Stegostoma tigrinum: one gene and its partner. The protein of the gene in region 1 interacts with the protein of each later gene in a pairwise test. Links are inferred from orthologs where the notes say so. Each region holds a gene or a part of one and is shown in the gene's direction. Other genes may lie near its edges.

Region 1 (7,368 bases):
AGCCAGCAACTTCTCATGTCTTCTCCTGGCTCTTCTGAGCTCTCTCTTTCGGTCTTTCCTGGCTAACTCGTAACCCTCAAGCGCCCTAACTGAGCCTTCACATCTCATCCTAACATAAGCTTCTTCTTCCTCTTGACCAGAGATTCCACTCCCTCCGTAAACCACGGCTCCCGTGCTCTACAGCTTCCTTCCTGCCTGACAGGTACATACTCATCTCGGACACACAGAGCTTTTCCTTGAATAAGCTCCACATTTCTAATGTGCCCATCCCCTGCAGTTTCCTTCCCCATCCTATGCTCCCTAAATCTTGCCTAATCTCATTGTAATTGCCTTTCCCCCAGCTATAACTCTTGCCCAGTGGTATACACCTATCCCTTTCCATCACTAAAGTAAACATAACAGAATTGTGATCGCTATCACCAAAGTGCTCACCTACTTCCAAATCTAACACCTGGCCGGGCTCATTACCCAGTACCAAAGCTAATGTGGCTTCGCCCCTTGTTGGCCTGTCTATATACTGTGTCAGGAAGCCCTCCTGCACACACTGGGCAAAAACTGACCCAAATATAGCACTCGAACTATAGTGTTCCCAGTCAATATTTGGAAAGTTGAAGTCCCCCATGACAACTACCCTGTCTCTCTCACTCCTATCGAGAATCATCTTTGCTATCCTTTCCTGTGCATATCTGGGACTATTCGGAGGCCTATAGAAAACTCCCAACAGGGTGATCTCTTCTTTTCTGTTTCCAACCTTGCCCGTGCTACCTCAGTTGACGAGTCCCCAAACATCTTTTCTGCAACTGTAATACCGTCCTTGACCAACAATGCCACACCTCCCCCTCTTTAACCGTCTTCTCTGCTCTTACTGAAACATCTAAATCCCGGAACCTGCAACAACCATTCCTGTCCCTGCTCTATCCATGTCTCCGAAATGGCCTTCAGAACACCTTTGAGGATAAAGAACGTCTTGATGTTCCCCTTGACTGTTTCCCCCCCCAGTCCAGTGTAGAGTTAGACAGGGGCTTCACGGTTCTCCAACCTGTAACCCCTTTTGAGCTCCTCAATATTTTCTGGAGTTAACAGTTTTCACATTCAGCTTCCACATTTTCTTGCCGGCCTGTGGGCATCCTATAGGTGGCAGTCAGCCAGCAGGAAGCAGTGGTCAGAGAAGAGTATTGGCTTGACATCAGTGGATCTGAATGAGAAGGTGTAAGATGCAAACACGAAATTGATCCTTGAATAGACAGATCCGTCTAGTGGCCACCAGGTATATCTATGTTACAATCCATCTGCAGGGGGGCTGAAGAAGTCTTTCAGTTTGGCAACTTTAACTGTTTCCATAAGGAATCTGGAAGACCATTACGTTTTGGGCAAACTAATTTTTTTTTCTTTCAAAAATATACTGTATTCATAAAAAAATTCTCTCATATGTATACGCTGTCACAAAAGCAATTTGGTTCTGTATAGCTGCACATCAGTAAATAAACAAACCTAACCAAAAAACCAAAGACCTTTCTTCCACATACAGTACTAATATTTACCTATATTTGAGGCACTAGGAGGGTCCAATAACTGGAAGGACACTCATTTACTTTTAGCTGGAAGACTTCAGCAGTGGTCCTTCCCCACTGTGCTTTGATGGCAGCTGCCCCAAACTTTAGTGTGTCCCTCAGCATGCAGTCCCAGACTTTGAAATGTGCCAGTCTGCAACACCGAGTTGAGGTTGGCTCCTTGTTCTGAATGACTAACAAGTCTTGAGCAAATCAAAGAGCGTCTTTCACTGAATTGATGGTACTCCAGCTCCAGCTAATGTTTGTCTCGGTGTGTGTCCTGGTGAACAGACCGTACAGGGCACAGTCCCGTGTCACGGAGCTGCTTAAGACAAACCTTGACACAAACCATGCATCTTCCTCCAGACTTCTTTGGCAGAGGCATATTCCAGAAGGAGATGTGTCACAGTCTCAACCTCAATACCCCTCACCAGCAGCCCCCCATCACCACCACCCTCCATCTTCAAACCTCCGAACCAGCCACTTCAAGAGCAGCGGGCAGTAGTGCAGACATAAAGGATCTCCCAGGTACTTCCCTTATCAGCAAAAGCCAAGCAACGTCTTGGTGCTTTTCCGAAGTTCGGGTGATGAGGCATTCTGCCAAATGACTTTGACAATTTTCTTAGGGAACCATGCAACAGGATCCACCCTCTTCTTTTCTCTCAGGGTACACTTCCTGATGGACTGCTAGTCAAAGGTGCTTTGCAAATTTCTCGATGAAGGAGAAGTGATAGGGGATGTGGCAGCAAGGCCAGTCCCATCCCTTGAAACACTGAGGGACAGGTAAAACCTCAGTATGCAGTGGCACTTGGTGTTGTGTACTAAGGGTCTATGCACAGCTTCATGTAGCCAAACACAAAGGTTTAATGTTCTTGTTAAGATTTGTAGCTTGGCTTGTGGATGAGGTTGTTGGCTTGCTCGCTTTGCTGGCTGGTTATTTAGCTTCATCCATCTAGTAGGCACCTGTGGATGAAATTATTGAGATATCCGTTGTTCATTAATTTGATCCTGGTGAAAATGTTTTTGATAAGATGGTGCGTTTCTTCTAACTTGGTTTAATGATGATGCATCATCCATGTATCAGATCCACAGTTCTGGCTGTATGAGGGGCAGGTTTGTGCACTCCAGTCTTTGCATGACTGCCCCTGCAATAAGTCCCGAGTCCTAGGGTCAAATTTACAAAAGAAGATGAAGACAACAATCAACTTCCATTCCAAGATGTCAGGGTAGAACGAATGACCAATGGGGAGTTCACAGTACACAGGAAGGCAACCCATATTGACCAAATCCTCAATTTCCACAGCAATCACCCAACGTCCACAAACAAAGCTGTGTTAGGACATTATTCCAATGAGCCGCAATACACTGCAACATGCCAGAACTACGTAGAAAGGAGGAAGAGCACCTATACAAGGTATCTGTTAATAACAGACATCCCAACAATTTCATCCGCAGGTGCCGTCTAGATAGGCAACACCAACAGGACACATCACACTATCCTATATCATGAACATATCAGAACTGACGAGACTCCTATGACCACTAGGAATCATGGCAGGACACAAATCCACAGCTACACTACAACAAACACCCACAAGGACCAAAGAACCCATACCCATGACGTGTAAGACCAACATAGTTTACAAAAATACCTTCCAATGACTGCAACAAACATTACAATAGCCAGACTGGAAGGAAACTAGCCATCAGGATACATGAACACCAGGTGGCAGAAAAACAACATGACAAACTTTCCCTCATCACAGTGCACTCAGACAATGTGGCCATCAATTTAACTGGAACAATGGGACCATCCTGGCTCAAGCCAACAACAGATATGCACTGGTTTTCAACCCATAATGCAATCAACAAACATGTGGAATTAGACCTCATGTACAAACCCATGCAAAAAAGAACAGGAAATGGCACAACACAACTCGACAGAGCAGATCATATAAATTCCAAGTGGAGTAGAACAGTTTTGCTTCATTGGATGCCGCACTGATGTTACCCAGCATGGTGATGAAAGGTCTGTATGATAAAACACAAAGGTGGCCATCAGGAGGGCAACAGTGGGAACGTTCTCTGCCACCACCATCCAGAGTTTTATACATGGAGTTCCTGCAGGCCCAGTCTATCTTAGGCTTCCAGATGAAATAGAAGATGACTCAGGTGATTGAAACATCAGTGACGGGAGGCAGGCCAGACCTGTGTCGTTTACAGCATCAGAGACAGAGTGCTTCACACCTGATAACCAGGTTTATCCCCGCAACGGACAAGGAACAGTGCTTCCAGAAGACCAATTTCTGCTTCACTTTGGCGATGCACTCCTCTCAGATTTTGTGCATGCCCTAGGCCCTCTGAGCCATATTCCCAGCACTTTCAGGTAATCTGTCGTGACGGTGACGGGAATGAAGGATCGGTTGGCCCAATTCCCAAAGAACATGGCCTCGCTGTTGCCCCGATTTTTACCTTGGCTCCCGAGCCCATTTCTACCAGGGCAAAGGGCGGGAACGCTGTGGTCAACCCCTTCAAAGGCTGCAAACCGTTCATGTTTTCCATAGTCACACAGCTCGGTAGCTATGACTGGAAAGTACATTACACCGTACTCTCCGACTTAACCTCTGCTCTTCCTTCCCCAACCCAAGCGGCTGACAGCTAGGTTCCCACGTTCCAAACCGTCGCAGGCTGACTGTTCTCACGCGAGATCACGGCCCTCAACCCGACTCGTTTCCCATTGGACCAACGCTTCGCGAAACGTCACTAGGAGGTGGGGTTAGTGCTGAACAGCGGAAACGAAAGCAGTCTCGAGCCAGGTGAGTCTGAACGTTAGAGGTTGTCTGTGTTGGTGCAGCGTGATCTCTACCCTGGGGTTTGAATGTGTGAGCAGCTCCGTTAGTCCCGTTGAAGCTCCCGACTCCTCCTGCTGTTGTAAGAGAGATAATGGGAAAGCGTGTGGGGGTGGTTCGGCTTGATTTACAGTCGGCACCTGACTTCTGCAGACCGATTCAAACTCTTCGTGCTTTTCTCATGCTTTGTGGTCTGCGCTTCCTGCAGTCCGTTCATATTTAATATTCCCTCATCCCCAGTTTAAAGGTGAGGTTTCAAGTCGCACTGCTGGTCTTGTACTCGTGAATCCAGTCTGGCCGTTATAATAGAGGGCCAGTTGAAAATGTTTTTTGGATAAGATCGTCAGTTGAGATTAAATCTGCCTTTTCTGATGGATGTAAAAGGTCCCTTATCACTTTCTTGGAACAAGACAGGAGACCGGATATTGGTGCATTGACTAGTCTTTGTGGTGTAGTTATCTTCGGAACCTAGTCACCGTCACCAAAATAAATTGGCCTCCATCACTGTTTGTGGAAGATTGCTGTATGAAAGTCTACTGATGTTTTTTTCTCTCAAGATTACAGCAATACTTTGAAAAAACAGAAATTGCTGATGAAAGCTCAGCAAATCTGGGAGTATCTGCGAGAAGAAAGCAAGAGTTAATGTTTGAGTCTAATGACAGCATGGTCAAACTGGTGTCTAATGAAAAGTCACTAGATTTGCAACATCAACTCTGCTTTTTTTCCACAAATGCTGCCAGACCTGCTGAGTTTTGTGACAATTTTCTATTTATGATTAAGATTTCTAGCATCCACAGTTCTTTGTTTTACTTCAGGAGCTCTTATTTGGCTGTGAAGTGCTGAGGGTCCATTAGACAAAGAGTTTCAGAAGGACAAACACAAGTTCCCACATTTTATTCATGAGTTTATTTAGACTTTAGTGGTGGGCCTGATAAAGTAGACATAAGTGATATGTTGATAACATTGTGGAGCTGGAAGAACACAGCAGGCCAGGCAGCATCTGAGGAGCAGTAAAGTTGACATTTTGGGTCTGGACCCTTCTTCAGAAATGGGGAGGGGGAAGGGAGCTCAGTAATAGAGGAGGGGTGGAGGTGGGGAATGTGGGTGGGATGGTGATTTTTTTTTTTGAGTGCAAGTAGGGAGTAGTGGGAATTGGTCAGCTAGGTGGGGGGGATGGCTAGGTGGGAGAGAAGATGGACAGGTTGGGTCAGGTCAAGGAGGTGGGGATGAGAGGGTGGCTTGGACATGGGATGAGGTTGGGGTTAGGGAGATTTTAAAACTAGTGAATTCCGTAGCGCTGTAGGCTCCCAAGGTGGAATATATGTTTTACTCCTCTAGTTTTCATGTAGTACCATTGTATCACAATGGAGGAGGCCCAGATGGACATCCCACCAAGGACCTTAACATCTGCTCTTCTCCCCCCCCCCCCCCCAAGTGATTGTAAATGCCCTCAACCACATCTCTTGCATTTCCTGCACCTCTGCCCTCACATTCCCTCCCCCCAGCAAAAATAAAGACACAATCCCCCTTGTCCTCTCATATCACCCCACCAATCTCTGCATCCAACATATTTTCTGCCACCTATAGCCCAACCCCACAACCAAAGAGATATTTCCCTCCAGAACAATATCTGCCTTTTGTAGGGATGGCTGTCTCCATGACTCACTCATCCGCTCTACAGTCTGTACTTACCCTACTAACCTGGAACCTTTGCCTAGAACTGCAGGAAGTGCTACACCTGCCCCTCCACCTTTCCCCCCCCCCCCCAACCCCCATGTAAGGCACCTGGCAAACCTTTCATATCAGACAGCGATCACTTGCACATCTGTCAACTTGGTCTACTGTATCCGCAGTTCCCAATGTGGCCTCCTCTGCATTGCTGAGACCAAGTGTAGACTTGGAGACTGTGTTTTGTAGAGAGCCTGCTCTCTGCATGGGACAAACAACAACATCTTCTAGTTGTCAACCATTTTAGCTTCCCCCTCCCACTCGCTGGGTGACACATCCATCCTGGGCCTCCTCCAGTGCCACAATGATACCACACAAACTGGAGGAGCAACACCTTATATTCCATCTTGGGAGCCTACAGCCCAGTGGCCTAAACATAGAATTCACCAGTTTTAAAATCTCCCCATCCCTGGCCTCATCCCTGCCACCTTGACCTGACACAACCTGTCCCTCTTCTCTCCCACCTATCCGCCCCACTGAACAATCCTGACGATTTCCTACCTGCACCCACCTATCGCCATCCCACCTACCTTTCCCAGGACTACCCCTTCTCTGTATTTATTTCTGAACACTCTTCCCCCTCCCCCTTTCTGAAGAAGGGTCCCGATCCAAAATGTCAACTTATCTGCACCTCTGATGCTACCTGGCTTGCTGTGTTCTTCCAGTTCCATACTGTGTTACCTCTGACTCCAGCATCTGCATTTCTTTCTATCTATAAATGATATGTTGTAACTTTTTATTTTAACTGCCTGTCAGATTGTAACCCCATGTAAAGTCTGACATTAAATGAATGAGCACTTCTCGTGATCGTCTTTTAAGATGCCCCTTAAAATTTATTTATTTGGTCAAGTCTGTGGCCATATGTCAGGACACTGCATCATCTAGCTTGGTCTCAAATTTTGTGATGCTCCTGTGAATTGCCTTAGGATGTTTTATTACATAAAATGTACCGTATAAATGCAATTTGTATTTATGGATGTGAGTTTGCTCGCTGAGTTGGAAGGTTAGTTTTCAGATGTTTCGTCACCATTCTAGGTAACATCATCAGTGAGCTTTCGATGAAGCGCTAGTGTTAGGTCCCGCTTTCTATTTATAAATAAATACAATAGAAAGCAGGACCTAACACCAGCGCTTCATCGGAGGCTCACTGATGATGTTACCTAGAATGGTGATGAAACGTCTGAAAACTAACCTTCCAGCTCAGCAAGCAAACTGACATCCAGAACCTCAACCTGAGCTAC
Region 2 (7,455 bases), on another chromosome or scaffold:
TTGCCTGTACTGTAAATTCTTTTAATTCAAACCAGGTAAGTCAAGTCTGACCGCTCGCGGCACTGCTGTGGGGATTATGGCTAGATGATGGCCTACTGACATTGTTGACAGAGTATTAATCCAGAGACGCGGATAATGTTCTGGGGACCTGGGGTCGAATCCAGCCATGGCAGACAGTGGAATCTGAATTCAACAATAATCTGGGAATGGGAGTCTAACGAGGACCATGCCAATAGTCAGGAAAAAAAAAATCTGGTTCACTAATGCCCTTCAGGGAAGGAAATTTGTCACTTTACCTGGTCTGACTATAGAGCCACAGCAACATGGTTAAATGGGGCGGCACTGCAGCCTCACAGCACCAGGGACCCGCATTTGATTTCAGCCTCAGGTAACTGTCTGTGCGGAGTTTGCACGTTCTCCCCATGTCTGTGTGGGTTTCCTCCAGTTTCCTCCCACAGTCCAAAGATGTGCAGGCTAGGTGGATCGGCCATGCTAAATTGCCCGTAGTGTTCAGGGGTGTGTCGGTTATAGGGGAATGGGTCTGGGTGGGATGCTTCAAGGGGCGGTGTGGACTTGTTGGGCCAAAGGGCCTGTTCCACACTGTAGAGAATCTAATCTAATCTAAATCTTAACTGCTCCCTTGGCAATAAATACCAGTCCATCGAGTGACACTCACATCCATGAATGAATAGACAAAATGTAATACAGATTGGCTATCTTCATGCACCTATTCAAACCTATGTATGTTTATCTTCCAGTGTGATTCATTTACACATGCTACAAGTGCATTCACTCACAGGGCTTTGCATTTTGAGCTCTTTGTTCAAAAAGAATTAAAGAATTCCAACATCTTGTCTCTATATAGCAATCTTTGAACCAATGAAGGGCTGAAGTGGAAGTATTCGTACATCTCAGGGAGACCAGTTGTCATAAACAGGAAACAGATTCAGAGAGCAGTTCACAAAGAAACAAGGATCAACTAGGAACAGCAGTAAATATAAAGATTTCTCTACAATATCAACACACTCACCACCACTTCCTGGGAACAAGTTGTTTATTAAAGGCCGTATAAAGATTCTAGCCTGACTGGCCTTTCTCTCAAACCCCAACATACTCTTGCCCTTTCTTTTGCCTCCTTCCATCTGCCACAAGTCAGTCCACACAACTGAGCCTTACCTGGTCGCTGGGCTCACACTCCACAATTTGCGCACCATACTCCAGTATGGCAGCCTTTTTGCACGCCGGGGCATTTCGGGGCACAACCACATATGAGGGGATCCCTGAGACAGTTCAAAACACACACACTTACACGGGGCTTAACAACAGCAGTGTCCCTAACCTGATTGCACCTTCTTCAAATGGGGAACAGACAGGATGACCCAAGATCCGCCTCATTTTCTATCCTCACCAAACCCGTCACTGGCTCACCATTTCAATACTAACTTCAACTGTGAGAAACACTGGGACTTCAGGTAAGGCAATCTGTTGCTGTATAACACAGGGGTACATTAACGGTAGGGACAGGACTGTCACTGTATAACACTGGGGTACATTAACGGTAGGGACAGGCCTGTCACTGTACAACACTGGGGTACAGTACTGGTGGGCACAGGTCTGTCACTGTATAATACTGGGGTACAGTACCGGTGGTCTGTCACTACACAATCCTGGGACACTGGAATGATGAAGAAGGGTCTGTTTCTGTATCACTCTGGGGTCTAGTATTGGTGCAGACAGATCTGTCAATGTATAATACTGGGGTACAGTACTGGTAGGGGCAGGTCTTATTTGGCCTTTCCTGCAGTCCCCACCTTGCATTTGAGCAGCTAGGGCCAGTGCCTGTCCATGATTACCACTGCTGTGTGTCACCACAGCTCGAACATCCTCGCCATTTTGCCTCCTCGCGCTGAGGCTGGACACTGCATTCAGGGCTCCTCGGATCTGAAGGGAATAACAAATCTCATCAACTCGCTGGTGGAAAGCAAACGATGCAAATTTTTTGTCCTCACATTCCAATGTCTGCCCCTTCCCCACCCCCCCGCCCATATCTGTAACCTCCTCCAGCCCCCAAAACACTCCAAGATCTCTGCATTCCTCCAATTCTGGCACCACAAGAAACTCTAATGTCCCTTGGGTCAACATTGGGGCCACACCTTCAGCTCCCTGGGTACTTAAGGTCTGGAATTTCCACCATAAACTTCACTTCCCTAAGGTATTTCTTACAATCTGCCTCCTTAATCAAGCTTTTGGTCACTCACCTTGAGACTTCCTTTCAGACGGCTATGAAATATTCCCTGATAATTACTCTTGTAGTTTCTGGGGATGTTTTATTGTGTTAAGATTGCTATAAAAACACATTATGCTAATATGAAAAGTAGTCCTAACCTTCTACCAGCAGAGTGCAGTATCACTTAGCTATGTTAAACTGACTGGCTCAAATTATATCCAGGACCCAGCCTAGTAACATGAATAATATAGTGTTAAATAGCCTGGATTTTTATGATAACTGATTCTATACAACAGGAATAAATTGGAAAAAGTTTGGTCTCTTGGGATTGCGTACATTGGGATGAATAGAAAGAGATTTAACCCAACAGAATTGCATACAATGGGAGTGAATGGGAAAAGTTTGATTAATTGGTATTGAGTACAATGGGAGTGAATGCAAAGCGGTTTGGTTAATTGGGATTATGTAATATGGGAGGGAACAGAAAGGGTTTGATAAATTGGAATGTATAAAATGGGAGTGCATTGGCAGTGATTTGGTTGATTTGGATTGTGTGCAATCCAATTGTGTGGGAGTAAATGGGAAGGGGTTTGGTTCCAACAGAATTATCCACAATGGAAGTGACAGGGAAGGGACCCGAGTCCATCAAGATTATGTAGAGTGGGGGTGAATGAGAAGGGGTTTGGCTAATTGTGATCATGTACAGTGGGATAAATTAGGAAGGGGTTTGGGTCCACTGAGATTATGTGCTTCCTTTGTGTTTCAAAGACCAGATCCAATTCTATTTCTTTATCCCTCTCCTGTTTCTGAATCAACAACATATTGATGCCAGGGTGGCATTTCAATTTCTTAAAAGCATCTTACCTTGAATGATCCAGTTTTTTGGAAAAGTTCACACTTGAGAAAGATCTTCCTATCAGCTCGCTTGTCCAGGGTGGAGTTGGTGAGGACTGGCGTCCGGTGGACAAGATCACAGATGACCATGTGAGCCTTCTGTACACTCGCCAGGGAGACACAGTACTGAGACTCCATGGCTACTTACAACTAGCAAAGAATTTCAACAGGAATGGTATAAAGCAGCAGTTAAGACCACAGATAGTACAATGCAATGGCAATTGCCACATTATAGGAAGGATGTGATCGCAATAAGGAAGGATGCAGAGCAAGATCTTTACCAGAATGGCATATTGTAACTGGGAGACAAGATCAGATAGTTGAGTCTGATTTCTTCGGAACACACAAGATCTAATCAAGATGTACAGAATTGAAGGTTCTAGATAATCCAACTTTCCTTGACAGAACAAGTCAAATGACAAGTGAGGCATAGATTTAAAGTAAGCAACAGAAACCTTTGCTGCGCAGGGGCTTGGTGCATGTGATGGGTATCTGTTTTCACTCAAAGGGGTCTGGAACACAATTCCTGAAAGGGTAGTAATATCCTTACTGCTCCTGAGAAAAAAATTGGATGTGCACTTGTAGCAACAGGGTCTACAGACCAAGAGCTGGTGGAAAGCGGGAATGAGACTAGATATCTCTTTCAGAGATGATAGGAACAGACAAGATGGGCAGAATGACCTATTTCTATCAGGGCTCTGGGGATAGGGATGAGGATATGGGATTAAAAGAACTATTGGGAGTACAGAAGGGGGGAGAAACTGAGCTAACGGTGCCCCGAAGAGCTGCCTCTTTTTTTGACAATGACCGTGGAGGTGCAGTCATATGCGCTGCACCATAGGTCCCGTTGCAATAGCACAATTGTATTTGCCCTGGAAAAGGGTCGGGGTCAGAAAGAGAGCATCTGAGCGGCCTGACGGCAGGCCTCAAACGATCAACTAGGCCTCGGCATCTCCCTGGTAACGGCACCAAGAAGACACCCGCCCCCATTACCCGTTGTGACCCCGCCCTTCGCCGTTATCCCCGCCTCCCTACCGCACTAACCACGCCCCCTAAACGAAGGAGCCCCGCCCCGAGCTTGACAACGCCCGAGTCTGATCCCGCCCCCTCGCGGATCCGACCCCGCCCCGAACACCAATGATTCTGGCCCCCTCCCCCTCGCCGAAGGTCAGCGCCCGGAGTCCGGACTCCGCTCCTGCCCCGACTCTAACCCCGCCCCCTTACGAACTCTGGTCCCGCCCCTTGATCGCACAGACTCCGCCTCCCGCCCGGACGATCCCATTCTCACCATCCCGCAGGAGGAGAGGGGTGTCCGACTAGTCTATTCTCCCATTTTAGCGGTTAAGTTGAAGCCAAGCCTCAAGAAGACGTCACTTCCGACAACGCTGAGGGTGCCTGAAGTAGCAGCATGGCCTTAAACAGTGGTAATGGGCCCTGGGGAGGGAGAGAGGGATGAGAATAAAGAGAAAGAAGAGAGGGATGAGAATAAAGAGAGAGGAGAGGGATAGGAATAGGAGAGAGGGATGAGAATAAAGAGAGAGGAGAGAGGGGGATGAGAATAAACAGAGAGGAGAGAGGGATAGGAGAGAGGGATGAGAATAAAGAGAGAGGAGAGGGATAGGAGAGAGGGATGAGAATAAGGAGAGAGGGATGAGAATAAAGAGAGAGGAGAGAGGGATAGGAGAGGGGGATGAGAATAAAGAGAGAGGAGAGAGGGATAGGAGAGGGGGATGAGAATAAAGAGAGAGGAGAGAGGGATAGGAGAGAGGGATGAGAATAAAGAGAGAGGAGAGAGGGATAGGAGAGAGGGATGAGAATAAAGAGAGAGGAGAGAGGGATAGGAGAGAGGGATGAGAATAAAGAGAGAGGAGAGAGGGATAGGAGAGAGGGATGAGAATAAAGAGAGAGGAGAGGGGGATAGGAGAGAGGGATGAGAATAAAGAGAGAGGAGAGGGGGATAGGAGAGAGGGATGAGAATAAAGAGAGCGGAGAGAGGGATAGGAGAGAGGGATGAGAATAAAGAGAGAGGAGAGGGGGATAGGAGAGGGGGATGAGAATAAAGAGAGAGGAGAGGGGGATAGGAGAGGGGGATGAGAATAAAGAGAGAGGAGAGGGGGATAAGAGAGGGGGATGAGAATAAAGAGAGAGGAGAGGGGGATGAGAATAAAGAGAGAGGAGAGGGGGAAGAGAATAAAGAGAGAGGAGAGGGGGATGAGAATAAAGAGAGAGGAGAGGGGGACAGGAGAGGGGGATGAGAATAAAGAGAGAGGAGAGGGGGACAGGAGAGGGGGATGAGAATAAAGAGAGAGGAGAGGGGGACAGGAGAGGGGGATGAGAATAAAGAGAGAGGAGAGGGGGACAGGAGAGGGGGATGAGAATAAAGAGAGAGGAGAGGGGGACAGGAGAGGGGGATGAGAATAAAGAGAGAGGAGAGGGGGACAGGAGAGGGGGATGAGAATAAAGAGAGAGGAGAGGGGGACAGGAGAGGGGGATGAGAATAAAGAGAGAGGAGAGGGGGACAGGAGAGGGGGATGAGAATAAAGAGAGAGGAGAGGGGGACAGGAGAGGGGGATGAGAATAAAGAGAGAGGAGAGGGGGACAGGAGAGGGGGATGAGAATAAAGAGAGAGGAGAGGGGGACAGGAGAGGGGGATGAGAATAAAGAGAGAGGAGAGGGGGACAGGAGAGGGGGATGAGAATAAAGAGAGAGGAGAGGGGGACAGGAGAGGGGGATGAGAATAAAGAGAGAGGAGAGGGGGACAGGAGAGGGGGATGAGAATAAAGAGAGAGGAGAGGGGGACAGGAGAGGGGGATGAGAATAAAGAGAGAGGAGAGGGGGACAGGAGAGGGGGATGAGAATAAAGAGAGAGGAGAGGGGGACAGGAGAGGGGGATGAGAATAAAGAGAGAGGAGAGGGGGACAGGAGAGGGGGATGAGAATAAAGAGAGAGGAGAGGGGGACAGGAGAGGGGGATGAGAATAAAGAGAGAGGAGAGGGGGACAGGAGAGGGGGATGAGAATAAAGAGAGAGGAGAGGGGGACAGGAGAGGGGGATGAGAATAAAGAGAGAGGAGAGGGGGACAGGAGAGGGGGATGAGAATAAAGAGAGAGGAGAGGGGGACAGGAGAGGGGGATGAGAATAAAGAGAGAGGAGAGGGGGACAGGAGAGGGGGATGAGAATAAAGAGAGAGGAGAGGGGGACAGGAGAGGGGGATGAGAATAAAGAGAGAGGAGAGGGGGACAGGAGAGGGGGATGAGAATAAAGAGAGAGGAGAGGGGGACGAGAATAAAGAGAGAGGAGAGGGGGACAGGAGAGGGGGACGAGAATAAAGAGAGAGGAGAGGGGGACGAGAATAAAGAGAGAGGAGAGGGGGACAGGAGAGGGGGACGAGAATAAAGAGAGAGGAGAGGGGGACGAGAATAAAGAGAGAGGAGAGGGGGACAGGAGAGGGGGACGAGAATAAAGAGAGAGGAGAGGGGGACGAGAATAAAGAGAGAGGAGAGGGGGACAGGAGAGGGGGACGAGAATAAAGAGAGAGGAGAGGGGGACGAGAATAAAGAGAGAGGAGAGGGGGACAGGAGAGGGGGACGAGAATAAAGAGAGAGGAGAGGGGGACGAGAATAAAGAGAGAGGAGAGGGGGACGAGAATAAAGAGAGAGGAGAGGGGGACAGGAGAGGGGGACGAGAATAAAGAGAGAGGAGAGGGGGACAGGAGAGGGGGACGAGAATAAAGAGAGAGGAGAGGGGGACAGGAGAGGGGGACGAGAATAAAGAGAGAGGAGAGGGGGACAGGAGAGGGGGACGAGAATAAAGAGAGAGGAGAGGGGGACAGGAGAGGGGGATGAGAATAAAGAGAGAGGAGAGGGGGATGAGAATAAAGAGAGAGGAGAGGGGGATGAGAATAAAGAGAGAGGAGAGGGGGACAGGAGAGGGGGATGAGAATAAAGAGAGAGGAGAGGGGGATGAGAATAAAGAGAGAGGAGAGGGGGATGAGAATAAAGAGAGAGGAGAGGGGGACAGGAGAGGGGGATGAGAATAAAGAGAGAGGAGAGGGGGATGAGAATAAAGAGAGAGGAGAGGGGGATGAGAATAAAGAGAGAGGAGAGGGGGACAGGAGAGGGGGATGAGAATAAAGAGAGAGGAGAGGGGGATGAGAATAAAGAGAGAGGAGAGGGGGACAGGAGAGGGGGATGAGAATAAAGAGAGAGGAGAGGGGGACAGGAGAGGGGGATGAGAATAAAGAGAGAGGAGAGGGGGACAGGAGAGGGGGATGAGAATAAAGAGAGAGGAGAGGGGGACAGGAGAGGGGGATGAGAATAAAGAGAGAGGAGAGGG

Evidence for each region. The genes of interacting proteins can lie anywhere in the genome.
Region 2: the proteins of ccnh (region 1) and znrd2 interact in binary tests that used the Homo sapiens proteins (3 or more experiments, as listed by UniProt). The two-hybrid records come from large-scale screens. The link is inferred for Stegostoma tigrinum from reciprocal best matches to the Homo sapiens genes CCNH and ZNRD2.

What each region holds. Positions count from the first base shown.
Region 1 is NC_081356.1:95,563,937-95,571,304, forward strand, and holds the start of ccnh (cyclin-H), read left to right. Parts: upstream 1-4,316; 5' UTR 4,317-4,366; intron 4,367-4,499; exon of another isoform or gene 4,500-4,646; intron 4,647-7,368. UniProt on the Homo sapiens protein: Regulates CDK7, the catalytic subunit of the CDK-activating kinase (CAK) enzymatic complex. CAK activates the cyclin-associated kinases CDK1, CDK2, CDK4 and CDK6 by threonine phosphorylation.
Region 2 is NC_081395.1:7,548,206-7,555,660, reverse strand, and holds the start of znrd2 (protein ZNRD2), read left to right. Parts: upstream 1-4,430; 5' UTR 4,431-4,529; coding exon 4,530-4,545; intron 4,546-7,455. Other genes in the region: serine racemase-like, read right to left, coding at 1,177-1,280, 1,812-1,941, 3,092-3,259. UniProt on the Homo sapiens protein: Might play a role in mitosis. Antigenic molecule. Could be a centromere-associated protein. May induce anti-centromere antibodies.